4 linked regions of the Saccharomyces cerevisiae S288C genome follow. Changing the gene in region 4 together with the main gene of any one other region gives a genetic interaction. Each region holds a gene or a part of one and is shown on either strand. Other genes may lie near its edges.

What was found.
Region 1: mutations in ACO2 (region 4) and ITR2 together harm fitness less than expected from each alone (positive genetic interaction), as found in Saccharomyces cerevisiae (one large-scale study listed by BioGRID).
Region 2: mutations in ACO2 (region 4) and HXT17 together harm fitness more than expected from each alone (negative genetic interaction), as found in Saccharomyces cerevisiae (one large-scale study listed by BioGRID).
Region 3: mutations in ACO2 (region 4) and RNR2 together harm fitness less than expected from each alone (positive genetic interaction), as found in Saccharomyces cerevisiae (one large-scale study listed by BioGRID).

The regions. Positions count from the first base shown.
Region 1 is NC_001147.6:119,957-126,391, reverse strand, and holds ITR2 (myo-inositol transporter ITR2), read right to left. Parts: upstream 2,392-6,435; coding exon 562-2,391; downstream 1-561. Other genes in the region: TPT1 (tRNA 2'-phosphotransferase), read left to right, coding at 1-395.
Region 2 is NC_001146.8:766,679-774,851, forward strand, and holds HXT17 (hexose transporter HXT17), read left to right. Parts: upstream 1-5,978; coding exon 5,979-7,673; downstream 7,674-8,173. Other genes in the region: ATP-binding cassette multidrug transporter PDR18, read left to right, coding at 1-2,698; YNR071C (aldose 1-epimerase superfamily protein), read right to left, coding at 3,762-4,790; MAN2 (putative mannitol dehydrogenase), read right to left, coding at 8,114-8,173. UniProt on the Saccharomyces cerevisiae protein: Probable glucose transporter.
Region 3 is NC_001142.9:389,172-394,103, reverse strand, and holds RNR2 (ribonucleotide-diphosphate reductase subunit RNR2), read right to left. Parts: upstream 1,701-4,932; coding exon 501-1,700; downstream 1-500. Other genes in the region: RRN7 (Rrn7p), read right to left, coding at 1-137; YJL027C (uncharacterized protein), read left to right, coding at 1,855-2,271; YJL028W (uncharacterized protein), read right to left, coding at 2,458-2,793; VPS53 (Vps53p), read left to right, coding at 3,251-4,932. UniProt on the Saccharomyces cerevisiae protein: Provides the precursors necessary for DNA synthesis. Catalyzes the biosynthesis of deoxyribonucleotides from the corresponding ribonucleotides. RNR2 provides the diiron-tyrosyl radical center.
Region 4 is NC_001142.9:54,113-62,924, reverse strand, and holds ACO2 (aconitate hydratase ACO2), read left to right. Parts: upstream 1-4,111; coding exon 4,112-6,481; downstream 6,482-8,812. Other genes in the region: PHO90 (SPX domain-containing inorganic phosphate transporter), read right to left, coding at 1-2,081; MBB1 (Mbb1p), read left to right, coding at 2,743-3,069; ECM25 (Ecm25p), read right to left, coding at 6,747-8,546; PRP21 (Prp21p), read right to left, coding at 8,742-8,812. UniProt on the Saccharomyces cerevisiae protein: Catalyzes the reversible dehydration of (R)-homocitrate to cis-homoaconitate, a step in the alpha-aminoadipate pathway for lysine biosynthesis.

The sequences.
Region 1 (6,435 bases), on a different chromosome or scaffold from region 4:
AGGTTCTCGTACCAATTACTGAAGCGTCGCAGTTACCACAGGAACTAATTCATGGAACAAATCTTCAATCTGTCATAAAGATTATTGAATCCGGAGCAATATCACCAATGAGTAGAAATCATGTCCATTTATCGCCGGGGATGTTGCACGCGAAGGGAGTTATTAGTGGAATGCGTTCTTCAAGTAACGTCTATATTTTCATCGACTGCCATTCTCCATTATTCTTTCAAACTTTGAAAATGTTCAGGTCGCTCAATAATGTTTACTTAAGCAGCAGTATTCCCGTTGAATTGATCCAAAAAGTTGTAGTTAAAGGAAACTTGAAAGATGAGGAGAAGTTAGATACTTTAAGAAGAATTTTACACGAAAGAAACATACCGCTCGAAAAGATATAACTTTCATCAAGCTCAACTTTTATGAATTTTTATTTTTAAATACTTCGCTCTTACTTATATATTTAAATAAAAACTTTTAAGATTAGATGAAATGAATTGTCTCCCTTTTATAGCTTTCTTCCTTCTTTTTTGTTCTTTATCTTTTATTTTTTGTTGGTGTAGCAGTCTAACTTTCTACAATTTCCTGTGTAGGTTCGAATTTGAGTTTATGATGGGCAGCACCTTCGGCCACCTGTTGTTTCCTCTTTTTAGCTAGAGCTTTAGAGGCTTTGATATTGAATCCGTCCTTTAAAATTGTTTGAACTTCCTCTAACTCCAATCCTGATAGTTCTGGATAACAAAAGTAACAAAAAATGGTTGATAAACATGCTACACCGGCAAAGAATGAAAATGTACCCGTTGGTGTAATATTTTGTAACATAGTCAAGAACGTAGACGCAATGACTAAAGAACCTGCCCAATTGGTGGCAGTAGCGTAGGATGTCCCTACACCTCTGACGTTTTGTGGAAATAATTCCGATTGTTGCCATGGAACAGTGCCGATACCGAGGGCATAAAAGGCTGCATACACAATAATAAATACGATAATGACAATGCCCCAAGATGAAAATCCATCAGATGCCACTACTGCATCAGCACCGTTAAACTTAATACCTAGGAAATGGAACGCTATAGCACATATAACCAGCGCCACAGTCATACCAGGTAGTCCAATCAGTAAAATGTACCTACGGCCGATTTTATCAATACAGAAAAATGCTATTAATGTGAACACAAAATTAGTACCTGAGACAATAATAGAAACGGCAGAAGAATTTTTGAATCCAACAGTTTCAAATATTGTACCGGAGAAATACATTAAGGAATTCCAACCTGTGAATTGTTGAATGGCTTGTAGACCACAACCAATAATCAAAGCTCTGAAATTTGAAGGCACAGTGTGCAATTCCTTGACCATATTCCAGAATTTTGTTATTGGATTTTTTCCTGGTATCGATTGATTTAAGCTAGATAATTCTTCAACTTTTTGATCAATTATTTCATCTTCAGTGTTTACGTAACTTCGTTTGAGAACCATTTTTGCTCTCTTTAAATCGCCTTTCATTACGTAGTATCTTGGTGTATCCGGCAAAAAACAGAAAAAAGAAAACTGCAAAACAGTAGGTATCAAGGACAAACCAACTAAGATTCTCCAACCGTTTTTGACGTGGTTCAGGCCCGCACCACAACCGTAAGCAATCAATTGACCACCTGTCAGCCATAGGGAATTTATAACGGTTAACCTACCCCTGATCATCTTAGGAGCAATTTCACTAATAAAAAGAGGAGAAATCAAAGAACCAATACCGACACCGAAACCCATAATCAGTCTACCGGCCGCCATTTGCCAAAACTTGTGCGCGGTAATTTGTAAAATTGCTCCGATCAAAAACATCAGATTGGAGAACATTAAACATGGTCTTCTTCCAAACACATCAGCAGCAGTACCAGCGCCCACACTTGTAATCAAAGCGCCCAATGATGTGGCGGCCGTAATTAATTCTTTTTCTCCATAAGTTAAAACTTTGTTGTCTAAATCTCTATTGATAGAAATTAGCGCACTCGATATGTAACCAGTATCATAACCAAACATGAACCCAGAAATGGACGCAACGAATGTCAATGTAATAATAAAAGGGGATATTGACTGATTGAAAGTTATAATCACTGATGTATCATCTTCATCGTTAACTGGTTTAATGACAATTCGACCGTCATCCTCGTCCTCATCCTGTCTAGATTTTATTTGCATTGTAGAGGTGGATACGGGAGACTTTTTCGGTTTTTGACCATCATTGTCTTCTTCACAGTGCTTCCTATGGTGCAGTTCTTCTCCCTGCGTAGAAGATTGATCAGTTGAGGCGGCCCCCATACCACTGCTATTAGTGTACGAGGGAAAGAAATGGGAGAGACGACTCTTCGTCCATCTGGAACTAGCAGCTGTCGAATTCTTCATTTCAGCCATGAAAAAAAAGCAGTTTTCTTGCTTTTACTGCGTCCTGCCTCTTTTCTTCTTTTAGTTTTTTGTTTTCGTTACCGTTTTCCTAGCGAACGACAATGTTTATTTTATTAAGGTATTCTTTGTGTTTTTTCGTACTCTATACTAAAGTATGGTCAACTGCTTACGTTCTGTTAGGCGGAAGACACGAAATAACTTTGCTTCACATAATATTTTGCATACTTTTAGTGGCAAGACGAGCGATTTTGGAAATTTTTTTGGCGATGTTTTTTTAGTAAAGCGGGTTTTTGACTACAATTTGAAAGCTCTTGTAGTAGAAGAGGGAACAAATAAGAAAAAAGGTTCCGGGATGAGGATTTGAGCTGAAGGTGAGAAATGGGTGAATGTTGAGATAATTGTTGGGATTCCATTGTTGATAAAGGCTATAATATTAGGTATACAGAATATACTAGAAGTTCTCCTCGAGGATATAGGAATCCTCAAAATGGAATCTATATTTCTACATACTAATATTACGATTATTCCTCATTCCGTTTTATATGTTTATATTCATTGATCCTATTACATTATCAATCCTTGCGTTTCAGCTTCCTCTAACATCGATGACAGCTTCTCATAACTTATGTCATCATCTTAACACCGTATATGATAATATATTGATAATATAACTATTAGTTGATAGACGATAGTGGATTTTTATTCCAACATACCACCCATAATGTAATAGATCTAATGAATCCATTTGTTTGTTAATAGTTTGAATGTTTTTATCGGAAGAGGTTTTGTCATCACATCAGCAATGTTCTTCTTGGTCTCGATGTAGTATACGTATAAATTATTACCTGATACTTCATCTCTAAGTCTCATTGCCTTTGTGCCAAAAAATCTGTTTCTAAATTTCTCTTCATTTGTAGACTTAATTATACTGATCGTTGATCTACTATCAGTAAGTAAGCCTTTAATAATTGGTTTCTTGTTAAGTTCTTGTATCAGGTAACTTAGATTATTTAATAATGGGACAGATTCACTTATCGCGTGTATTTCTGCTTCCGTAGTTGAAGTACATGTTAATGAAGCCTTGGTGGACTTTCCTCCAATTACCTTTCCATTAAGTAAATATATGTTGCCAATTTGTGATTTATAATACGGTTGGTTGCCATACGAAGCATCACTTATTGCGACTAGTTTATTATCTGGCTCGGTAGGTTTGTTTTTGTGCCATATCAGTTGTTTATCTCTAGTGTCCCACATGAATTGTATCAACTCATATGTCATGTCTAAAACTTGCCTAGAGGGGAATAGTATATGTTGAGCAAGTGTGTTGATGTAGTATAGTAAGTCAAATCTAAATTTATATCCAACATATGAAGCTAGACCAATCAACTTTTGCATTTCATGTACCTTCTCTTTGTATTCATCTTCATCTATTTCTAGTTCATCCTGGTCTATATAAAGACCTGGTTGACCTGGAGCGCTAAGTTTTCTTCCTTTTGGATTCAAAGGTACGTTTAATTTGGGTATTTTCTCAGTTAATGAGTTTTCCATACCTAATTTCATGTATTTACCTCTTTGATATTTGATTTCTAAGCCAAGTATGTCGTACTGAATTTCGTTATCACTTTCACCCAGATTTATTATCTTTGTATCGTATTGTTTCTTGAGTGTTGTTATGATTTTCTTATTTGCATTTAAGTCTTTGCTGAATAAAATCATGTCGTCAACAAATAAACATATTGTTACTTGACTATTCTTAAATACGCATGACCATCCACGAACTTCTTCCATACCACACTGTTTTATCAGGTATGATTTGATAGTTTCGTACCAGTTCGCTCCACTTTGTTTCAATCCATAAAGTGATTTCTTCAAACGTATCAACTTATCATTCATTCCTAAATGTGGTGGAGGTCTTATGTATAATTCTTCTTTGATGTCTGCATACAAATATGCCGAAGATATGTCTAATTGTGTAATATAGTAGTTATTGTCTAATGCAAGTGACAGGGATGTCATTAATGCATAGTGATGTACGGTATTGGATTGCATGCCTGAGTCGTAAGTGTCAGGATGCTGAATATCACCTCTTGCAACAAATCTAGCTTTATGAGTACCGTCACGTTTCTTGTTGAAGATAAACATTGAGTTTATTACTCTTTTAGGGTCTATTTCTTTTCTGTCATAATATTCGTCAGTGTCCCAAGTTTTCATCTTCAACAGTTGATTGACTTCTTTGTGGTATGCCTCGATATATTTTTCTTTTTCTTTAATATCTTTATTATAGGTGATTGCCTCATCGTATCGTAAGGTTGTCCGTATTGGTTTGATTGATTTTACTGCTTTTACAGCTGCAATCAGGTGAATTCGTTTCTTCGATCTCGGAGGTTCTAAACTACGCATATTCTTAGTATTCCATGTGTCTCGTGATACCTTAATTTCAGTTTCATTATCTTCTAATGATCTTTTCTTACTGTTGATAGTAGTATAGGCATTAGAGTCACCAATACCACCCAAACTGGAATTAGTTTGATGAGAATTTATCGGTGGGAGTTCTTTAAATGGGTCAGGGAATTCGGTAGGAGATTCTGGAGGTAGATCAGGGAGTGGGAGATCAGCGATGATAGATTCCTCGGTATTCTGTTCAGAAACAGTAGTTGGCGTTTTGATAGGAACAATATTGTGCGATGAATTATTTTCCGGTGGAGAAGCATCGATTGAAGGTGAACGGTGTATAATCCTTTTCTCAGTCTCTTGGTCACTTATCTGCGGAACAGTTTTGTTGTTGGTACCACCCGTACTGGATATTGGTACGTTTGTATGATTAGTCTCATTTTCACTGTACGAGTCTGAGTGTCTGAAATCTTTAGATTTACTGGCGTGCGACGACTCATGTGTGTTAGATTGGGACATGGGAGCAAGTAAAGGAACATTTAATTTATGCATACCACCCGAACCGGTACTCTCGATATTGGAAATTTGGGGGGTGCTAGATCTCTTCTTTGATGGAAGAATATTAGATTCAGATATGTTGGGGTCAACTTCTCTGGGTGCGCGAATATTGGTTTTAGAAACACGTTTCGAATCTTCAGTATGAGTTGACGGAGGTGTGGAATCGGTTGGACTCACAGCTTTTGAAAGGACATTTCTCGGTTGCTCAGGATGTAGTTCGATGTCAGATTGGAAGTCATGGTCAGATTCTATGTTAAGATCATCGGATTGTTGGATCTCATTTGACGCAATGAACGATTGATATGAAGCAGTTAAACGGTTTAAGTCTTCATCGAAAGTGAGTGCGTCGTAATTGAATTGATCTAATCTGGATTCCTTGCCCTGAAGAATAACATAGTTAGTTGTATCTACTGTCTTCTTTAAGGATGGAAGATAGATGATATATCCATAAGAGTTTCGAGACGGATGTAGAGCGTAGCCTGGGATGCCACGAGGATGTATTTTGGAGTTAGGGTTGTGATCATTGACGATAACAGGTTGACCGAAAGGTAACAAAGTACTGATATCAAGTCCTGCCAAGCCAGCATGTTGTCTTGCAGATTTTTTGCTTTTAGGTGAAGCTAGTGAATTTCTCACAATAGTAGAAAATTCGATTGCAGAGAACCATAAATGGTTCGGTAAACCACTACATTGCAGTTGAGTACGGCAGTCATCTAATAAGGTACGGTTGAGCCGTTCAGCGACTCCATGTGCTCGGGAATCCGCTGTGGTTGTATAGCATGGAGTTATACCATTTTTTTCAAGGAATTTATGGAGAGTTCTGTTAGTATACTCAGAACCACGGTCCATTTGTATAACCAAGACACTGGCCTGAAACTGGTTCTTAATAAAAGCTAGTATCGTAGTAAAAACATCGAGGATAGAGTCCTCGCGACGGTCGTGTAATGGATAAACCCAACGGAATTTTGTTGTCTCATCAGTAAATGAGATGAAATAGGATGGTGCACTTTTTGGTAGGTTGTGAACTGGACCAAATATGTCAGTATGTAGGTATTGAAAGGGTTCGTATGAATTTTGGTATTTTAGTCGTGAACC
Region 2 (8,173 bases), on a different chromosome or scaffold from region 4:
TTCTTTGATGGGTTTAGCTAATATTAGTTTCGAGCACAGGCCAATATTGCAAAAACACAAGGTCTATTCACTATATCATCCCTCAGCTGAAGCGTTAGCAAGTACGATTTCTTCTTTTCCATTCAGAATGATTGGTCTAACATTTTTCATAATCATCCTGTACTTCTTAGCCGGTTTGCATAGAAGCGCCGGTGCTTTTTTTACTATGTATTTGTTATTGACAATGTGTTCAGAAGCTATTACAAGTTTGTTTCAGATGGTTTCATCTTTATGCGATACATTGTCCCAGGCCAACTCCATTGCCGGTGTTGTGATGTTATCTATTGCCATGTATTCGACGTACATGATACAATTACCTTCAATGCATCCATGGTTTAAGTGGATTTCGTACATTCTACCCATTAGATATGCATTTGAATCGATGTTAAATGCAGAATTTCATGGAAGACATATGGATTGTGGTGGCACTTTGGTTCCTTCTGGACCTGGGTTTGAAAACATCTTGCCAGAAAATCAAGTGTGTGCTTTTGTTGGTTCAAGGCCTGGCCAATCTTGGGTCCTAGGTGATGATTATTTGAGGGCCCAATATCAATATGAGTACAAAAATACTTGGAGAAACTTCGGCATCATGTGGTGTTTCTTAATTGGCTACATCGTCTTGAGGGCGGTTTTCACTGAGTACAAAAGTCCTGTCAAAAGTGGTGGTGATGCTCTGGTCGTCAAGAAGGGCACAAAGAATGCTATACAAAGATCATGGAGCAGCAAAAATGACGAAGAGAACCTTAATGCCTCTATAGCAACACAGGATATGAAAGAGATAGCTTCAAGTAACGACGATAGCACAAGTGCAGACTTTGAAGGTTTGGAATCTACCGGGGTGTTTATTTGGAAAAATGTTTCTTTCACAATTCCTCATTCTAGCGGACAACGTAAACTTCTGGACAGCGTAAGCGGTTACTGTGTTCCTGGTACTTTGACAGCATTAATAGGTGAGTCCGGCGCTGGTAAGACCACATTATTAAACACTTTGGCTCAAAGGAACGTGGGAACGATTACTGGTGATATGTTAGTTGATGGTCTCCCAATGGACGCTAGTTTCAAAAGGCGTACCGGTTATGTTCAACAGCAAGATCTTCATGTTGCTGAACTTACTGTCAAAGAATCGCTACAATTTAGTGCTCGTATGCGTCGGCCACAGTCTATTCCTGACGCTGAAAAGATGGAATATGTTGAAAAAATTATATCTATTCTTGAAATGCAGGAGTTCTCAGAAGCTCTTGTCGGCGAAATTGGTTACGGCTTGAATGTTGAACAGAGAAAGAAACTATCAATTGGCGTTGAGCTAGTTGGCAAGCCGGATCTGTTATTGTTTTTGGACGAACCGACCTCTGGCTTGGATTCCCAATCCGCGTGGGCCGTCGTCAAAATGTTAAAAAGATTAGCTCTAGCAGGTCAATCAATTTTATGTACTATTCATCAACCATCAGCTACTCTTTTTGAACAGTTTGACAGATTATTGCTTTTGGGAAAAGGCGGTCAAACAATTTATTTTGGTGAAATAGGTAAAAATTCAAGTTCTGTCATTAAGTATTTCGAAAAGAACGGAGCCAGGAAATGTCAACAAAATGAAAATCCGGCAGAGTATATTTTAGAAGCCATAGGAGCTGGGGCCACCGCTTCTGTTCAACAGAACTGGCCTGATATATGGCAAAAATCTCACGAGTATGCAAACATTAACGAAAAAATAAATGACATGATTAAGGACTTATCTTCTACAACTTTGCATAAAACAGCTACAAGGGCCTCTAAGTATGCAACATCGTATTCCTACCAATTCCATCATGTGCTGAAAAGATCCAGTTTAACATTTTGGAGAAACTTGAACTACATCATGGCCAAAATGATGTTATTGATGATCAGTGGCTTGTTCATTGGTTTTACCTTTTTCCATGTGGGTGTAAATGCTATTGGATTACAAAATAGCTTATTTGCCTGTTTCATGGCTATCGTTATATCAGCTCCTGCAACAAACCAAATACAGGAGCGTGCTACCGTTGCTAAGGAGCTATATGAAGTTCGTGAGTCCAAATCTAATATGTTTCATTGGTCTTTACTTTTGATTACCCATTATTTAAATGAATTGCCTTACCATTTATTGTTTTCAACAATTTTTTTCGTTTCATCATATTTCCCTCTGGGTGTCTTTACCGAAGCCTCTAGGTCAAGTGTTTTTTATCTGAACTATGCCATACTTTTTCAACTTTACTATATTGGTCTTGCTTTAATGATTCTGTACATGTCTCCAAATCTACAATCTGCCAATGTTATTGTAGGTTTTATACTTTCGTTTTTGCTCTCTTTCTGCGGTGCTGTCCAACCTGCCTCTTTAATGCCTGGTTTCTGGACATTCATGTGGAAACTATCCCCTTACACGTATTTTTTGCAAAATTTAGTTGGATTATTGATGCATGACAAACCCGTAAGATGTTCAAAGAAAGAGTTGTCTCTTTTCAACCCCCCGGTAGGCCAAACATGTGGTGAATTTACCAAACCGTTTTTTGAATTTGGGACTGGGTATATTGCAAATCCAGATGCAACAGCAGATTGCGCCTATTGTCAGTACAAAGTAGGTGATGAATACTTGGCGCGCATAAATGCTAGCTTTAGTTACTTATGGAGAAACTTCGGTTTCATTTAGGCTTATATCCTTTTCAACATTGCCGGTATGATTGTGGTTTATTACGTTGTTCAAGTTAAGCATTTTTCCCCTATGAAAATTGGCTTCGTAAAAAGAATAACAAGTAAATTTAAGAGAAAATGAAGAAAAAAATTGCAGGTATACTATGGGTGCAGGTGAGGCGGTTTTTTAACCGATTTAGCACACGATACTGTGAATTTTGGGTTATATGATGATGTGAATATTGCAGAAATGTAATGTTATATTATTCAAAGAAATAGGGTAACTTCTATTTATGCAAACATTGGTAATCAAGGCTATAAACACATAATCCCAAATAAGTATTTTGGTACACAGTTGATGTTTCTTTATGAATACGACTCATTAGTTCACTGTCAAATTGCCAACGTTCAGAGGGACCTACTTACAGAGCGTATGTTTTATATTTACGACGAACGCGATCTAATTATTATCCGCTGGTTAAACAGCGTAATAATGTTCATAGGGGCCTTGCATGACATTTGAATTTGAACATTACTAGAGTTCGTGAAATTTTGTCAATGAAAAAATAATGTGACAAACGTCTGCAAATAACCTGAAGAATTTTATCCGGGATAACGACAAAGCGTTAAATATAGAAACATAGTGAATGTACTGCTAGGAAAAAAATAGGCATAATTTAATCTTTATTCATATAAATGTTTTTACCAGAACTCTCTTGGTAGATAGTTTTGATATACGGTTTCCTGCTCAATTTTAGTGAGGCTGGGACGTAAAGTATTTTTTTCAAATAAACCATTTCTTGTTTCTACCTTTTTAGTACGGATTTTTTTTAGTAAGTTCTGTATTCTTTTTTAAGAGTAAAAAATATTCAGACCCCAAACTCACAAAAAGCCTACAGAGTCCGCCTGTTACGCTCAATTTAGTACTACCACTTGTGATAATATTTATTTTGGGACAGGTCCAAAAACTTTTAGGTTTAAACGTACAAACGTTGAGTTTAATCTAGATCATATATCATTATAAAGGTTTTATCTACAAGCAAGTGAAGAAACGTAACAAACGTAAAAAGCTTCAGCCTCACCTAAATATCGAATTTGTACTGAGTCTTTGAAGTGTATACCTCGCCGCGCTTCAGAAGAACACAACCTCTCCACTCATCACGGTTGATAGCATCAACGTATCTACCTTGCTGAACGGCAAATCCAGACCTTGGCACAAATTTGCCACATAAATTATCACCGGTGTACAAATGAACGGTTGGTTCTGTCGTCGAAACCTCAAATTTGATGTGAGATTCGGGATGATAGGCCTTAAAAACAGGAACCAATTTGTTGACACTCACAGAATCTGTAGTCTTCAAATCCTTGTTAGCGTCAATAATGAAAGTGCAATCAAAGACCGGAGTATCTTCATGCAAAACGGTGGGCTTAGTTGAATCAAAAGTAGCAATGTTCCTTTCAATGATCTTACCAGTTGGAAGCAATGCCCCCTCTGTAACTTCAAGCGATTTGTTCGAGCAGACCTTAACTTCTGTACCACGAATGGACTTCTCACTCTTGACTTTGTTCAAGTTAAAATACGAGTGGTTGGTCATATTAATTGGAGTAGCATCACCACGAACTAACTGTGCTTGGTATTCCATGTCTAAAGTCATTTCTGCAACATTCAAAGTGTACTTCACTGTGACTTCCAAGTCACCTGGAAACTCGTTAGGGTTGGGCTGTGTGTGATCATCCAACAATTTAAATTCAACAACGTAAACGCCCTTGGAAGGATTCTCAACAGGGGACGCCTTGTACTGCTTAAGATTTAAGGAACTGATACTGCTGTGATTTGTGTTACCACAATTGTTAACAGTTAACTTGTGAGGACCATCATCCAGGCTGAAAACACCCTTGGCGATACGGTTGGCATAACGACCAACTGTAGCGCCCATCATGTTACCATCTGTTAAATAGTCTTGTACGTTTGAATAACCTTGAACGACTGATTGGCCGTTTACCTTCAGGTCTACCAAAGTTGCACCAAGTGGCGCAATGGTAGCTTGGAACTTTTTCTCATCACCAATTGTAATGACACCATACTTATTATCACCGTTACTATTTGACATTTCGCTGTTTGTTATCTGTTTTGATTTTTTTTTTCACTGCTTATCATACAAACTGATCAATTGAGCTATCAAACTTCAACTTATCTCTGTATTTATATGCTGAAAGTATAGAGTGTACATAAAAATGTATCACATGTCTATTACATATTACGACACCCCCACAATATTTTAACTGATCTTAATAACACGGGGTAGGAAGTTTATTTCATCATACCACTCAATGAGCTAAGCTGCCAAAGGCTCCTGTTCACTTCCTTGTGGTTCGTAGGCTATTCAGTGGCAACGTAATAAACAAGAAAAGAAAAAATTTCAACACCTTTATTCTAAATGTTGTCAGAAGTAATTATAGTGGGGGTATTGCAGATGTAAATGAAATACGACGTACTGTGGGGGGCTTTTCTTTTTCAAGAATCCTAAACTATTCCAATGGGATTGCGTGATTATGTTTCGTTAGAGTTTTTTTCTATATCTCCGTTCTTATTTCTTAAGTCCGCCCCTTGCTGTAACCAGCCCGGCTATTATTTGACGAATTTTTCACATCTTCATTCCTTGCCGAGAAAGAAGCTTTTGCCTCCCTGGGGTTATTATAAAATATATCTGACGTCACTGGTTTGCAGCCAAAAAGTTTAATTATTTTAACTTCAAGGGTTCGTTTCGGAGTAAATAGTCAATGCACAAAATAGGAAGGTGGAGGTGGGGTATGCATTTTTGTGCATAGAGTGGCGGGGTATTAAGAATAATGCACATATAGGCACATAGGCACAAATGCGTGGGATGACTTGACTGTGCAAAGACCGTTAGCAACCTAGAATGTGGAATAGTATCCCAAATGATGACGTAAACGTTCGAGGATAATATTAGATAATATAATATTAGTATCCTCGTCTAAAAACAGGCAAAATAGCACGGAATCTATTCAAAAGAAGGCGGCAAGCAGTATCAATTGAGATAAGTGTATACGAACGGTGAAACCTCCTTGGCACAGAATTTTATCGTTCAAGTGGTAGGATAGCATTGCTGCCATAACACCCTCCTTAATCACAGGATAATATGGTGAACGAGATATATAAAGCGATAAGTTTAGGTGTGATATTTTTCTTTCGTTGTGCAAGTGTTGTGTAAATTCTTTCTCATTTGATAAATCAAAAAAAAAAAAAAAAAAAAGAAAAGAAAAGAAAAATTAATAAAATGCAATCATCCACTGAAAGTGATAGAGATATTCAGGATGGTCCTGATGCTGATATTCACGTCGCACCACCCGTGGAAAAAGAGTGGTCAGATGGATTTGATGACAACGAAGTCATAAACGGGGATAACGTTGAGCCACCAAAAAGAGGGCTCATAGGTTATCTTGTCATTTACTTATTGTGTTATCCAATATCCTTCGGGGGTTTCCTGCCTGGTTGGGATAGTGGTATCACAGCAGGTTTCATTAACATGGACAACTTTAAAATGAACTTCGGTTCTTACAAGCATAGCACTGGTGAATATTATTTGAGCAACGTGCGTATGGGTCTTCTTGTGGCTATGTTCAGTATTGGATGTGCCATAGGTGGTCTTATTTTTGCCCGTCTTGCTGATACTTTAGGTAGAAGGCTGGCAATTGTAATCGTGGTGTTGGTATATATGGTTGGTGCAATTATTCAGATCAGTTCGAATCACAAATGGTACCAATACTTCGTTGGTAAGATTATCTATGGTCTTGGTGCTGGTGGCTGTTCGGTGTTGTGTCCAATGCTTTTGTCTGAAATAGCTCCTACAGATTTGAGAGGTGGACTTGTCTCATTGTACCAACTTAACATGACCTTCGGTATTTTCTTGGGTTATTGTAGCGTTTATGGTACGAGAAAATACGATAACACTGCACAATGGAGAGTCCCACTTGGGCTTTGCTTTTTATGGACTTTGATTATCATCATTGGTATGTTATTGGTTCCAGAGTCCCCAAGATATCTTATTGAATGTGAGAGACACGAAGAGGCCCGTGCTTCCATTGCCAAAATCAACAAGGTTTCACCAGAGGATCCATGGGTACTCAAACAGGCTGATGAAATCAACGCCGGTGTCCTTGCCCAAAGAGAACTAGGAGAAGCTTCATGGAAAGAACTTTTCTCCGTCAAAACTAAAGTCCTTCAACGTTTGATCACAGGTATTCTTGTGCAAACCTTTTTGCAACTTACTGGTGAAAACTACTTTTTCTTCTACGGAACTACCATTTTCAAATCAGTCGGTCTTACTGATGGGTTTGAGACGTCGATCGTTCTAGGTACAGTGAACTTCTTTTCCACTATTATTGCTGTTATGGTCGTAGACAAAATTGGCCGTCGTAAATGTCTTTTATTTGGTGCAGCTGGGATGATGGCTTGTATGGTCATATTTGCAAGTATCGGGGTGAAATGTCTTTACCCTCATGGCCAGGATGGTCCATCCTCAAAAGGTGCAGGTAATGCCATGATTGTGTTCACTTGCTTCTATATATTTTGCTTTGCAACGACATGGGCTCCTGTTGCTTATATTGTGGTTGCCGAGTCGTTCCCTTCGAAGGTCAAATCTAGGGCCATGTCGATTTCGACTGCATGCAACTGGTTGTGGCAATTTTTGATCGGGTTTTTCACACCATTCATTACTGGGTCTATCCACTTCTATTATGGTTATGTGTTCGTAGGTTGTTTGGTTGCAATGTTTCTGTACGTTTTCTTCTTTTTACCAGAAACGATTGGTCTATCTTTGGAGGAAATCCAATTACTATATGAAGAAGGTATAAAACCATGGAAATCTGCATCTTGGGTCCCACCTTCTAGGAGAGGTATTCCTTCCGAAGAAAGTAAGACCGAGAAGAAGGATTGGAAGAAATTTTTGAAGTTCTCAAAGGGTTCTGATTGATCATAGAGTGCATATGCTTGTCTTGATAGGCAACATTGTATATTATATTTTACATAATAATGTGTAATTCTAATTTGTCACGAATTTATGAAGATTCTTGGAGCTATGAAGATCAACATATGTAGAAACTGGTATGTGTCATAGGTAAAAAGTATTCATTAAGACAAAATTGTGTCTAATTCTTAGTCATTTATTCAATTTTTTTTTTTTTTTTTTACGTAAAGCGGGGTGGAGTGACATGATATGGTGATGGTGATGAGAAACTCTAAATGGATCCATTTGACTATCGATTGAAAATCATGAAAGATGCGCTTGAAGGAACATAACACGTTACTATTTGTCTAAATAAAACAATATACAAAAATACGACATTATATATACTCTACCCAAGATATTTAGTCATTACTATCGAGGGCGCGTAGATCAGATCACCTTTAAAATCACACTTGGTCTAAAATTTCCTTAATAGCGGCAATTGGCCCTTTATCATAAACTGTTTC
Region 3 (4,932 bases), 330 kb from region 4:
TCTTCATCGTCGTTAAATTCCACGTCACCTTCCATAACGTGACCATATTGGCAGGTTCTTCTCCCATCAATGATACGCCAAAGCCGTGAGGGGCAGTTGTCTGTACCGCAGATGGGACCTCTTATGAAAGTAGACATCCTTAAGTGATGTAGGGGTATGTCCGAGTAGTTCGTTCAACTATTTTTAAAGACACATCGTTCCAGGTTTATATTCATATACATATGTATGTATTGTATAGGTTTTTTTATTTTTTATTTTTTATTTTTTTTTTTTTTTTTTTCAATTTTTTTAAGCTTTTCTTACTTTTCCGATGCCCTTTCCACTTTAATCAATATACGTATGAAATTCAGCCGAAGTTTCCGTTTGATAATATATTAGATTCAATATAAAAAAAAGTTTATATGATTCAGTGTATATATATATATATAAATAAGAGGTGCGAAAGCCCACATAAAGAGATTGAAGAGACTGCGTAAAAAGAAATATATAGAGAGATACTCTTAAAAGTCTTCGTTGAAGGTGAAAGCACCGGCTTCTTGCTTAGTCGACTTGGACATAACACCAGCCTTTTGGTAGTCAGAAACTCTCTTTTCGAAGAAGTTGGTCTTACCGGCCAAGGAGATGTTTTCCATGAAATCGAAGGGGTTTTCGACCTTGTAGTATTTCTTGTTACCGAAAGCAACCAACAGTCTGTCGGCGACGAACTCAACGTATTGGTTCATTAAGTCAGCGTTCATACCTAGCAAAGCAACTGGTAAGGCGTCCAAGAAGTATCTTTGTTCAATTTCCACAGCCTCGGTGACAATTTTTTCAACAATGGCTGGGTCTGGTTTGTTCTTCAAATGGGCGAACAACAAGCATGCAAAGTCGGTGTGCAAACCTTCGTCTCTACAGATCAATTCGTTGGAAAAGGTTAAACCGGGCATCATACCTCTCTTTTTCAACCAGAAAATGGAGGCAAAGGAACCGGAGAAAAAGACACCTTCAATGGAGGCAAAGGCAACTAGTCTTTCACCAAACAAGGCGTCAGCGTCTTGAATCCATCTTAAAGCCCATTCGGCCTTCTCACCGATTTCTGGGATGGTGTGAATGGCATTGAACAAGAATTCACTTTCTTTAGGGTCCTTGATGTAAGTATCGATCAACAAGGAGTAAGTTTCAGAGTGAATATTTTCAATCATGATTTGGAAACCGTAGAAACTCTTTGCCTCTGGAATTTGGACTTCGGTGGAGAAGTTTTCAACCAAGTTTTCATTAACAATACCGTCAGAAGCGGCGAAAAAGGCAAGAACTCTGGAAATGAAAAATCTCTCGTTTTCGTTCATTCTGTTGTTCCAGTCATGGATATCCTTAGACAAATCAATTTCTTCAGCGGTCCAGAAAGAAGCTTCGGCACGCTTGTAGGCTTGCCAGATTTCATGGTACTTGATAGGGAAAAGAACAGTTCTCTCCTTGTCTTCATTCAACAAAGGTTCCTCCTTTTCCATTTCCTTAAGTTTGTGACGGTGAACTTGATGAGATTTCAAGTAAGCCTTGTGATTTTCAGCGTCCTTGCTCAATTTCTCCTTAAGCATGTCTGACTTTACTCTGTTTTCCTCTCTCAATGTCTCCAATTCCTTGTTAAGGTTGGACTTGGAATCTTTGATTTCCAAGTCGGACAATGCATCGGCAGCAGCTTTGGAAGGGGTCTCTTTAGGCATGGTAATTGGACAAATAAATACGTGTATTAAGTTTGGATTCTTTGGTAGATAGCCAATCGAGGGAACAATTAAAAAAAAGAAAGAAATAAAAGACAAGAAGAAGAGCGAAAAAGGGGAAAGTGATGAGGAAAAGAACAATAGATAGATCCAGAAGATGATGGTAACGCGCAAACACTACCGCTATATATACCTACAAAACTCTCATTCTCTCATTTCCTGCTTCGTTCATTTCGAGTTTCCAAGGGTATGGTACGGTGCTATCTGCCCGTGCTTCCCCTCCTTTGCTTTGCTAAGAAAAATTTTCTTTTGTCAGCAGCAACAACACGCTACGCTCTGCGCTGTGCTACGAAGTGGTCTCTGTGGCAACGGGGACATTGTACCCATGCCCGCTCGCAGGGAGGTCTGGGTGTGGGGCGTGTGCGACCTCGTTGCCATGGCGATCGCGCGTGGGTGTGGTCTTTCCCCAAACGGTTGCCCGTTGCTCCGGATTTCGCATAGTTGTCGCGTAAACAAAAAACACGAGAGAGGGCGGACGGCGCTGAATAGTGGAAGATCGCGCGATGTCAAGTAAATAAGCTTGTATTTGTATTTGTATGTGTTTATGTGTTTGTGTGGTTGAGAATTTTATTTTCCTCCTAGTTTTTTCTTTTTTGAGTGCGGAGGGGCAGTGCTCTAAACTTTGCCTGCTTCTTGTTCGACTTCGGCTTCCTATGCAGAACGCAAAATCGCGTGCGCGAGGAACGAGGAAGACAACGCTTTAGATTGGCTTTTTCGTCGCCCATGCCCGTTGCGATAGCGATATGATGAGAAATCGATAAAAGGTTGCACCAGTACACCGCACTTTCTGGCGTGCTTGGATCTGGCTTGCGCGGCCTCGTGCCAGTAAGTAGAAAAGTAGTAATATGGCATGGCGAAAGAGAACAAAACAAGCAAAGCAAGCGTAATGCACAGCTGTGGCTAAAAAAAGAGCACAGAGGTGAAGGGAAAAAAAGATAAAGAAATTAAGGAGGTTGAGAGGGCTTGTGTGTCGATGCTTGGTGAGGCGGGACGTAACGGTTTTTTGTCTGTAGGCACTTCTACCCCACAGGGCCATGAATCTGGCCCGAAACCGTTGCGAGCGTGCCAATTGGTGGTGATATCTTTTTTCTTCCCTTTTTTTTTGTTTTCCGTTCTGTTATGTTCCTTCATCTTGAATTCACTAAAGGGAACAGAAGAAAAAGTTGGATATTAGATAAGCGGTACTTTTCTACAGGTCTAGTATTATTCCTCGGTTGGAACAAGAAATAGTGCTTCAGTAGCTCAGTAGGAAGAGCGTCAGTCTCATAATCTGAAGGTCGAGAGTTCGAACCTCCCCTGGAGCATATTTTTATACGTATATCTTTTTTCCCTCTATTTTGTTTTTTTTTTCTTTGTTTTTTCGTAGCTAGTAAAGAAGAGAAGGAGACCTAAAGTGTATATATACTTAATCTGCGATCATTGAAAAGTCGCTAGCTTATTGTCACTTACTGCATTTTCACAACATCTTCCATTTTTGTTTTCTCAGAAGGACAATGCTGGAAGGTACGGTAGATTATGACCCGCTGGAAGATATTACCAATATACTTTTTTCAAAAGAATCCCTGAACAACATAGATGAACTGATCAGTATTACCAGAAGCTACAAAAAGCAATTGCAAGAGGATATTCTCAAAGAAGAGAATGAATTGAAGGAACACCCTAAAAATTCCGCTGAAATAGAGGCTTCTCTGAGGAAAGTTTTCCAAGATTTCAAAGAAACTCAAGATGTCTCAGCCTCCACCGAGTTGACGATATCGAATCTGACAGAAGGTATCTCGTACCTGGACATTGCCAAGAAAAACCTCACCCACTCTTTGACTCTTTTCCAAAATTTAAAGATATTGACAGACAGTTACATACAATGCAATGAATTACTCTCACAGGGCTCATTCAAAAAAATGGTGTCCCCTTATAAGATAATGTGTTCGCTTGCTGAAAACACATTCATCTCTTACAAATCATTGGACGAGATAAACTATTTGTTGAGCTCCATTTCAAGACTGAAAGGAGACACTTTGTCCAAAATTAAACAAAACTACAATGCGCTCTTTTCCGGCGGCAATATCTCAGAGCATGATACAGCACTCACTATGGAATTGCGCGAAGGTGCCTGCGAGCTACTCGACTGCGATACAAGTACGAGAGCCCAGATGATAGATTGGTGTTTGGACAAACTTCTCTTCGAAATGAAAGAGATATTTAGGGTCGACGATGAAGCCGGATCCCTAGAAAATTTATCGAGAAGATACATTTACTTCAAAAAAATTCTTAATAACTTCAATTCAAAGTTCGCAGACTATTTCTTAAAAGACTGGGAAATGGCAGTCAGATTGACCACCACTTTTTATCACATTACACACAAGGACCTTCAGACACTTCTGAAAAGGGAATTCAAAGACAAGAACCCTTCCATTGATCTATTCATGACAGCATTACAATCGACGCTAGATTTCGAAAAATACATCGACGTACGATTTTCAAAAAAAATTAAGGAACCAAAACTAAGTTCCTGCTTCGAACCTTATTTGACTTTATGGGTGTCTCACCAAAACCAAATGATGGAAAAGAAATTTCTTTCTTATATGAGTGAGCCGAAGTACCCATCTAATGAAACAGAATCTCTCGTGTTACCCTCGAGTGCAGACCTTTTCAGGACATATCGTTCCGTACTGACTCAGACCTTAGAGCTCATTGATAATAATGCCAATGATAGCATATTGACTTCATTGGCAAATTTTTTCAGTAGATGGCTTCAAACTTACTCACAAAAAATTCTTCTTCCTTTACTGCTGCCCGACAATATTGAAGTCCAGGATAAGCTAGAAGCTGCCAAGTATACCGTTTTATTGATCAATACTGCAGATTATTGTGCCACGACTATAGATCAATTGGAGGATAAATTATCTGAATTCAGCGGTAATCGTGAAAAGCTGGCAAACAGTTTTACGAAAACGAAAAATATATACGACGATTTACTAGCAAAAGGAACTTCTTTTCTATTAAACCGTGTCATACCCTTAGATCTAAATTTTGTATGGAGAGAGTTTATCAACAATGATTGGTCAAATGCTGCGATAGAAGATTATAGCAGGTACATGGTAACCCTCAAATCCGTACTTAAAATGCCCGCATTAACAGATGCCTCTATTAAACAACAGCAAGAGCAACCTTCGAC
Region 4 (8,812 bases):
GATGACCCAAAAGCACCTTCAATCTGGCTTTCCACACACCACAACAAAATAGTGGCCACAGTGACAGTAATGATATAATACTGCTTAACTGTGAATTTCGTCTTAATAGGCTTAAATTTTTCCAATTTGGTCTTATTCATCTTGAAAGTAGTGAACAATAAAATCCAAACCAAAAGCATGGCCAGGATACCAGATGGCAATGCAACAGCAAAGAATTGGCCCCAGCCAATACCATAGGGTTTCAAGTACGACATGGAAATGATGTTTTGAGGTGAAGAGATTGGTGAAGACATACCACCGATATTTGCAGCCAACGCTACACCTAACACCAATGCTTGCGCAAATGGGCTATCTGCATCCATGGCATCCAATAGGGGAGATAACAACGAATATGTTAGAACAGGTGCTGCGACATTGGAAATCCACATTGATAGGAAGAACACGACACACATTGCCATTAAAAGAACGTTTCTGGGTTTACAACCAGCGAAGGCCAACAACCACGAGGCAAGAACTTTGGCGATGTTATATTGTGCAAGTACTTCACCCAAAGTAAAACCTGCCAGCAGAATCATAATTGTAGAAGACCACATGGCGGCCAAAATTTCTGATGAAGCGCTTGCAGCACTCATTATAGCCCCGTCGGAGGTTTTTAGGACTTTGAAAAGGACTACAAGTAGTGGTACAAGGAATGCTGTAATGTGTAATGGGATGGCCTCACTAGCCCACAAAAAGGCGACACACTCGACAAGGGCCATGCAGCGGTGCTGAGCAGCGTCGTTGAAGGTCTTTATTCCTAACAAGAGTCCAGTGACTAGAATAATAAAGTAAATCTTGTATGCTTTCTTGGTGAAAAATAATTTCGGTAGTGCAACGTTGTTTATACTAGTGAATTTTAAGTTTATCGGTCTGGGTAGTGGCCATCTGTAGTATTCCAAATCTAACTTGCCTACCAGCTTATTTGCATTATATTCTGTTTCCTTTGGTGTCAACTCGTCAGCTTGCGATAGCAGTCCCAACATGTCTTTCCAAGTGTTACTTCTTTCCCAAACAATGTGGTCATGCAGGTAGGATTTCAACTCTTGCTTGCTATGCGAGATATTATGAGGCCGGTCAGTGATGCGCGCATAAAATGTGACTAGCTGGGAAATTTTGGAATTTAGCAATTCGATCGTTTCTGCCTGGAATGCATATGTGTCTTTGAAAAACTGCTCCGATTCGATCAGTTCGGTTCTTGTATTCAAGTGAAGAACTTTGTCTGATTTCTTTGTAATTTTTGCAAACCCAATGCGGTTCAATTCGATGAACGACTTCAACTGGCAAAGATCGATATATAGGTTTACGATCGACTTCTTCAACAGCGATTTTTTCTGAGACTTAATGTTATACTGCGAATGATGCAGCAAAGCAGTATTATCTTCAATATTAGATTGATCATCGTAAAATTCGTCGTCGTCTTCGTCATCATCCAAGTCTAGTGGGGGAACTTCGTCATTTGTGCTGGCAATCGGTTCGTTAAACAGAGTATCATCGTCGATATCGTATTCTATAACTCCGATTTTCTTCAGGTCCTTCACCAGCGCGTCAAATTTGTCGTAGAACTTCGCTTCTGTCCTCTTATAAAAATCATCTACTTTCTGTTTTTCAGCTGTTAAATCACCAACAAACGTATCATAAGTGTCTAATTGCAGATTTTCGTTGGCCGTGGAGGAGACGGACGATGCGGAAGACGACCTTCTTTTGTAAAATATCTTTTCCTTCATTCTTCTGAAAGGAGAAGGTTTGGCAGCGACCGTCTGAGCAGTAGGCAACTCTCGCAACTCGATGGTTTCCTCAACGATGCCTGCATCTTTGTTCATACCGGAAGACGTATCTTCCTTCGCATTTTTAAAAGAAAACTTGTTTTTGAACCTATCTGTAATGTTAGAGCTCTTTCCTGCGCCAAATCCTTCTTCGTTATCACCAACCTGAAGTTCATCTGTTTGTAGCGTGTAAATAAGATTTTTCAGCTCGCTGTAGTCCATATAATGGTTTTGCCATTCTGGGACAGCATTGTACTTCAAGAAGTGTGAAAATCTCATGATCCTGTACCAGCTACCACTTACTCGTTTATCCTAAAAACAACTTTATTGGCCGGATGACATCGAAGTGAACAGTGTTCTTTATATCGATGAATCAAAATTTTTCAGTGAGCCATTCATTCTTCGAGAAGCAGCGCAAAAAAAAACAAAAAAAAAAAAAACGGCTGTAGCTGCGGCGATATTGTGAGCGCCCCGCTTTAGGGCGACTTTACCCATAGTAAAAAGGGAAGACAATAACGAAATAAGAAGAGAAGAGAACCGTGGTTTCTCTGTTGCTTAGGATCATATACGCCTACAGCAAGGCACCTCTTTATGCGTATGCAGTCATACAAGGAGTGTGGAAATGCAGCACAGATGGCCTTCGCTGCTTGCCAGGCTGCCATTTTTCTTGGCTGCTGCCGCTACTACTGATTTTCTTACCTCTGCTAGAAACCAGTGGAAATGATTTATTCACAATCTAGCACCATGCAACATACATCCAAATCAGTGGAAATACGACATTATTAGCCGGCCCTTTACGTGCCAAAGGTAATAACAGTGAACGGGAGATGGGAAGCTTAATGCTGTTACCCGCTATCGGTTGTTGCTATGTAAACCAAATATAAATGCAAGCCAAAAAAAAAGGGTAACATAAGGTTAAGTAGGAGAAGGGAGATATTGAATGTATAAGGTGTCAGCATGTGGGGTGAGGATAATGAGTGGCATATCAGAAATTTGGATTGGCGAACTTAGAGATTACAAGTACGCTTTACGTCTTGATAGAGAAGAGTATCCAGCGGTGCTTGTTTACGAGTATGACTCGTCTTCTACTAGGAACTATCTTTTTACCATAAAGTACAGCGATCAGAGGCCGAACTGGCAGCTCATTACTCGTGACGCAGCTTTAACAGCTTACGACTTACTTAACAGAGGTGGCGAGTTCACAACTCTCAGCTTTCCGGGAGCCACTATTCACCGTTCAGTCAGTGAGCTGTCCCGATTGCATTAACAATATATAAGGGAGCAGAGCGAAACAATATGAGGTTCAGTAACATTTAAGGGTCGCTATTGAGTGTTTTGTGAGATATAAGTGAGTTTTGAGATAATTGTTGGGATTCCGTTGTTGATAGAGGCTACAATATTATGTATACAGAATATACTAGAAGTTCCCCTCGAGGATATAAGAATTCTCAAATGGAATCTATACATACTAATAATACGACTATTCCTCATTCCGTTTTCATATGTTTCGTTCCTATTACACTATCAATCCTTGCATTTTCAGCTTCCATTACATTTGATGACTGATTCTCAATCTTTATGTTATCTTTTTACACCACATGTGATAGTATACTACTAAACAGTATGCGGTAGCTATACTCTTTAATGAATGGGCGAAGCCTCCCTAGTATTTTATCTTGACATATCTAAAGGATTGCACAATATTGCGATTTGTTCTCCACAATGAAACCTTCTCAATAATTGTCCGATCATCCACCCATTTCTTAAGATGATAGACGATTCTTAGTCCAATAACATTGTATCCTTTACGTTCCGTAGAATATCATGTTGTTGATCCTCTTCTCAGCACAGTGCTTATTACTCTCACATCAACATCAAAAAAATTGCTTCATGATTAAAATGTTTGTGGAATATAACCGTTAAAATAGGTCAGGCAAATATAAAATAGAAGCTTCTATGGCCAAGTTGGTAAGGCGCCACACTAGTAATGTGGAGATCATCGGTTCAAATCCGATTGGAAGCATATATTTGATTTTTTAGCAATTAATTTTTTTTTTTTTTTTTTTTTCACGCTCTTGAGTCATCGCGAGTAAAATTCCACTGGAAAATTTTTTCAATATATACAAAGTTCCACAATATCATACAGCTCTCACATCGTAGATTATGTCAATAGATGGTATGGCATCAAACATGTATATAAACTAAAATATTTTCATCTTTTCGTATTATTCGATTTGCGCACTTGCAAAAATAAGAATTTTCGACTTTCTTTAAACATAAAACTCTAAGAGCAATAAGCAAGAGATTCGATGCTATCTTCAGCTAATAGGTTTTATATAAAGAGGCATTTGGCAACACATGCCAATATGTTCCCCTCTGTATCTAAAAATTTTCAAACAAAAGTGCCACCTTATGCAAAACTTTTGACCAACCTAGACAAGATTAAACAAATAACAAACAATGCTCCATTGACACTAGCAGAAAAAATTTTATACTCGCATCTTTGCGATCCTGAAGAATCGATTACTTCTTCTGATCTGTCCACCATCCGTGGTAATAAATACTTGAAGCTAAACCCAGACCGTGTAGCTATGCAGGACGCTTCTGCCCAAATGGCGCTTCTACAATTCATGACCACCGGTCTAAATCAAACATCTGTCCCAGCATCCATACATTGTGATCATTTAATTGTAGGTAAGGACGGTGAAACTAAAGATTTACCCTCTTCCATAGCTACCAACCAAGAAGTTTTCGATTTCTTGGAGAGTTGCGCAAAGAGATATGGAATTCAATTCTGGGGCCCAGGTTCTGGTATCATTCACCAGATTGTTTTGGAAAATTTCTCAGCTCCAGGTCTAATGATGCTAGGTACTGATTCCCATACACCAAATGCAGGCGGTCTGGGAGCTATTGCCATCGGGGTTGGTGGTGCGGATGCAGTTGATGCCCTCACAGGCACTCCATGGGAATTAAAAGCACCAAAAATTTTAGGTGTTAAATTGACCGGAAAGTTAAACGGATGGTCCACTCCTAAAGATGTAATCACAAAGCTCGCTGGTTTACTAACTGTCAGAGGTGGTACTGGTTATATCGTCGAGTACTTCGGCGAAGGTGTATCCACTCTATCTTGCACAGGTATGGCAACCATCTGTAATATGGGAGCTGAAATCGGTGCTACAACGTCAACTTTCCCTTACCAAGAAGCTCACAAGCGTTATTTGCAAGCAACTAATAGAGCAGAGGTCGCTGAAGCAGCTGATGTTGCTTTAAACAAGTTTAACTTCTTAAGAGCCGACAAAGATGCTCAATACGATAAAGTTATTGAAATTGACTTATCCGCAATTGAACCTCACGTTAATGGTCCATTTACACCAGACCTTTCAACCCCAATATCTCAATATGCCGAAAAAAGTTTGAAGGAAAACTGGCCCCAAAAAGTTAGCGCTGGTTTGATTGGATCATGTACCAATTCATCTTATCAAGACATGAGTCGTGTTGTCGACTTGGTCAAGCAAGCTTCCAAAGCCGGCTTGAAACCACGTATCCCCTTCTTTGTCACCCCTGGTTCAGAACAAATTAGAGCTACCTTGGAAAGAGATGGAATCATCGATATTTTCCAAGAAAATGGTGCCAAAGTTTTAGCAAATGCATGCGGCCCTTGTATCGGACAATGGAATAGGGAAGATGTCTCGAAAACATCAAAAGAAACGAACACTATTTTTACATCATTCAATAGAAATTTCAGAGCTAGAAACGATGGTAATAGGAATACAATGAATTTCTTAACATCCCCAGAAATAGTAACAGCGATGAGTTATTCTGGAGATGCTCAGTTCAATCCGCTAACTGACTCAATTAAATTGCCAAATGGGAAGGATTTCAAATTCCAACCACCAAAGGGTGATGAGTTACCAAAAAGAGGATTTGAACACGGTAGAGACAAATTTTATCCTGAAATGGATCCAAAGCCAGATAGCAATGTAGAGATTAAGGTAGACCCTAATTCTGATCGTTTGCAATTATTAGAGCCATTCAAACCTTGGAACGGGAAGGAATTGAAGACAAACGTGCTTTTGAAAGTTGAAGGTAAATGTACAACAGATCATATTTCCGCTGCGGGCGTCTGGTTGAAATATAAAGGCCATCTAGAAAACATTTCTTACAATACATTGATTGGTGCACAAAACAAAGAAACCGGTGAAGTCAACAAGGCTTATGACCTTGACGGAACTGAATATGATATTCCTGGTTTGATGATGAAATGGAAATCAGACGGTAGACCATGGACCGTGATAGCGGAACATAACTATGGTGAAGGTTCCGCAAGAGAGCATGCTGCTTTGTCACCAAGATTTTTAGGCGGAGAGATTCTTTTAGTTAAGTCTTTTGCAAGAATTCATGAGACAAACTTGAAGAAACAAGGTGTGTTGCCATTGACTTTTGCCAACGAATCTGACTATGATAAAATATCAAGCGGAGATGTTTTAGAAACGTTGAACCTAGTTGACATGATTGCTAAGGATGGTAATAACGGTGGTGAAATTGATGTTAAAATTACTAAACCAAACGGTGAATCGTTCACCATCAAGGCAAAACATACTATGTCTAAAGATCAAATCGATTTTTTCAAAGCTGGTTCAGCAATCAATTATATTGGTAATATACGAAGAAACGAATAAATTCTGAAGAGATATTAGCTAAAAATTAAGAGTCCGATTTAATAGTCATAAGCTAGTTTACACAATTCTATAGACTCTGCATATAGACGGTGCAAATAACCTACCTATTTATTTATTTATTTACTATAAAAAACGTAATATTGTTTGATATATAATATTATACACGAGATCTCGACTGCTTCAACTACGGCTTAACTCAAGGGTGGGGGGTATTTTGTTGTCGTATATGCAATATGTATGTGTTAAAAAGATACAATTATGTAAGTTACCACCTTTGTTTCATTTCATTCATTACTTGTAAACCTTGTAAACGTTCTTCGTACAATGCAGCTAGCCTGCTAACCTTGTTGCTTGCTTTAATATCTGAATATCCCTTTTGAGAGAATTTATCTGCTGTCTTTGAAGTAGTTTCATTTTTCTTCTTCTTTTCTTGTAGTTCTTTGTCGAACTTCTTAATCTTCGCGTTTTGGACGAGGGTTAAACTTTCAAACTGTTGTACGAATATATCTGTTTCCACAGAATTTTTATCCTTTGCTGGCTCGTCCTTAACCATTTCTTTGATATTATCTGATATCGTTAAATCGGTGCTGCTGTTACTCAATGGAAGCGAGTCTGCTGATGGAGTCTTCGTCGGTGAGGATAATGTATCTGTAGAAGAAGAAGCTAATGCCAAATCTGTATTAGAATTGGAAGTTAGAGACAGTTGTGGTCGTGTAACTGCCTTAATAGGAAGTGGAGGTTTGGCATTGAATGATGGGGATGAAACATTTCTGCTTGAAGACTTAGGTTTCAAGACTGGTGTATTTTGTAATGCGACAGGTGTGTACGTTGGAGACGTAACAGATCTTTGTGGACTAGGGCTTCGACTTCTAGGAAGGGTTAAGCAGCCTAGTTCACTGTATCTGGTTGGCGACGACTTCCTTGGCTTAGGCAAAACAGGGATAGTAGAAGACGATGATACGGATGAAGGAGGTGATGATATTTCCTTCGCGATTTCGGGGAAAAAGTCCAGTAAATTTTTAATATATCTCGACCCAATAGCTAAACGATCATTAGTCATCATGGAAAGTTTTTCCTTACATAACGCCGGAGTTAAAGCTTTACTTAGGGTCCTTGAATCATGTTTAGTCGATTCACCATGCGCTATGATCCTATTAAAAAAAGGAATTATGACCATAAAGAGGTCCTGGTATTGGTTGAATTTAATAATTTTGCGGAATGTTTCACTTGTGAACTTTAGATCATCAACAATTGGTAACGGAATTAATTCAATTGGGATTAGAGGTTTGGCTTTATTCTTAATGAAGTAATTCAACCACACGGATGCCAAAGAATAAATATCCCATTGAGATAAATCAATGTAGTTGTTTCTTTTGATAATATCCAAAAAAATGTTTACCTTTTTATAGTTTCCCGGCTTCTGGAATATCAATTCACACAACAGAGCGTCATTCTGTAATTTCTTGAAAATTTTATCGAATACTAACTGCCTATACTGTCTTATTGCCAGAGGGGTCAATCTGTTATAATATTCCTCCGGGACATTTATATGTTCGCGTATCTGGTAATCATATAAGTACACGTTCAACGATATTCTAAGTCGCGTAATATCTATTAGCTCGGATAAAGAAGTCAGGTCCAAGACATGAACTAAACTTGGAAAATCATGCTGACTATCTTTTGAGTCCAAGAAGTTAAAGTTCATAGCGTTTGAAATTACTTGATAGACCGACCTAACGAAGAATGACTCATGAACAATAAAAATCTTTTGTAAATAGAACTTGGTCTCTTTGGGTAACTTTGCAAACATTTTAATACCGTAAACCCAGCTTATTTTTCTCTGGGAAAACCCAGATGAAAAAATCACCAGTGAATATGGTGCCTGTGGCAATTTCATTACCAATCGATCCATGAGGGCATTAATAAGCAAGTCATAAACTTGCTTATCGCCAATTTCATCAGATGCTGGCAAATAAGTCGAATCAAAGACATAAATTGCGTGACCAGAGTTAGGATCAACTGAATAAGATCTAAAAAATATGTTATTAACGTTGATATCTATCATCCTGGCCTTCTTTCACGCTACCAATAGTATTATCCAGTAGGGCCATATCCTCGAGAATTTCACTTTCTATATACAAAATAACATCAACATGAAAAAACGCCAAAATACGTACGCCGTTAATAGTGATACATGTGCTCAATTACGGTGCATCATCAACCTTTACATACTTCTAGCTAACTTTGATTTTCATGAGGCTTATTTTTTACTTTTCTTTAACCTTGTCTCTCCCACAGCTCTAATTTTACGCTTTTTGCCCTTACTATCTC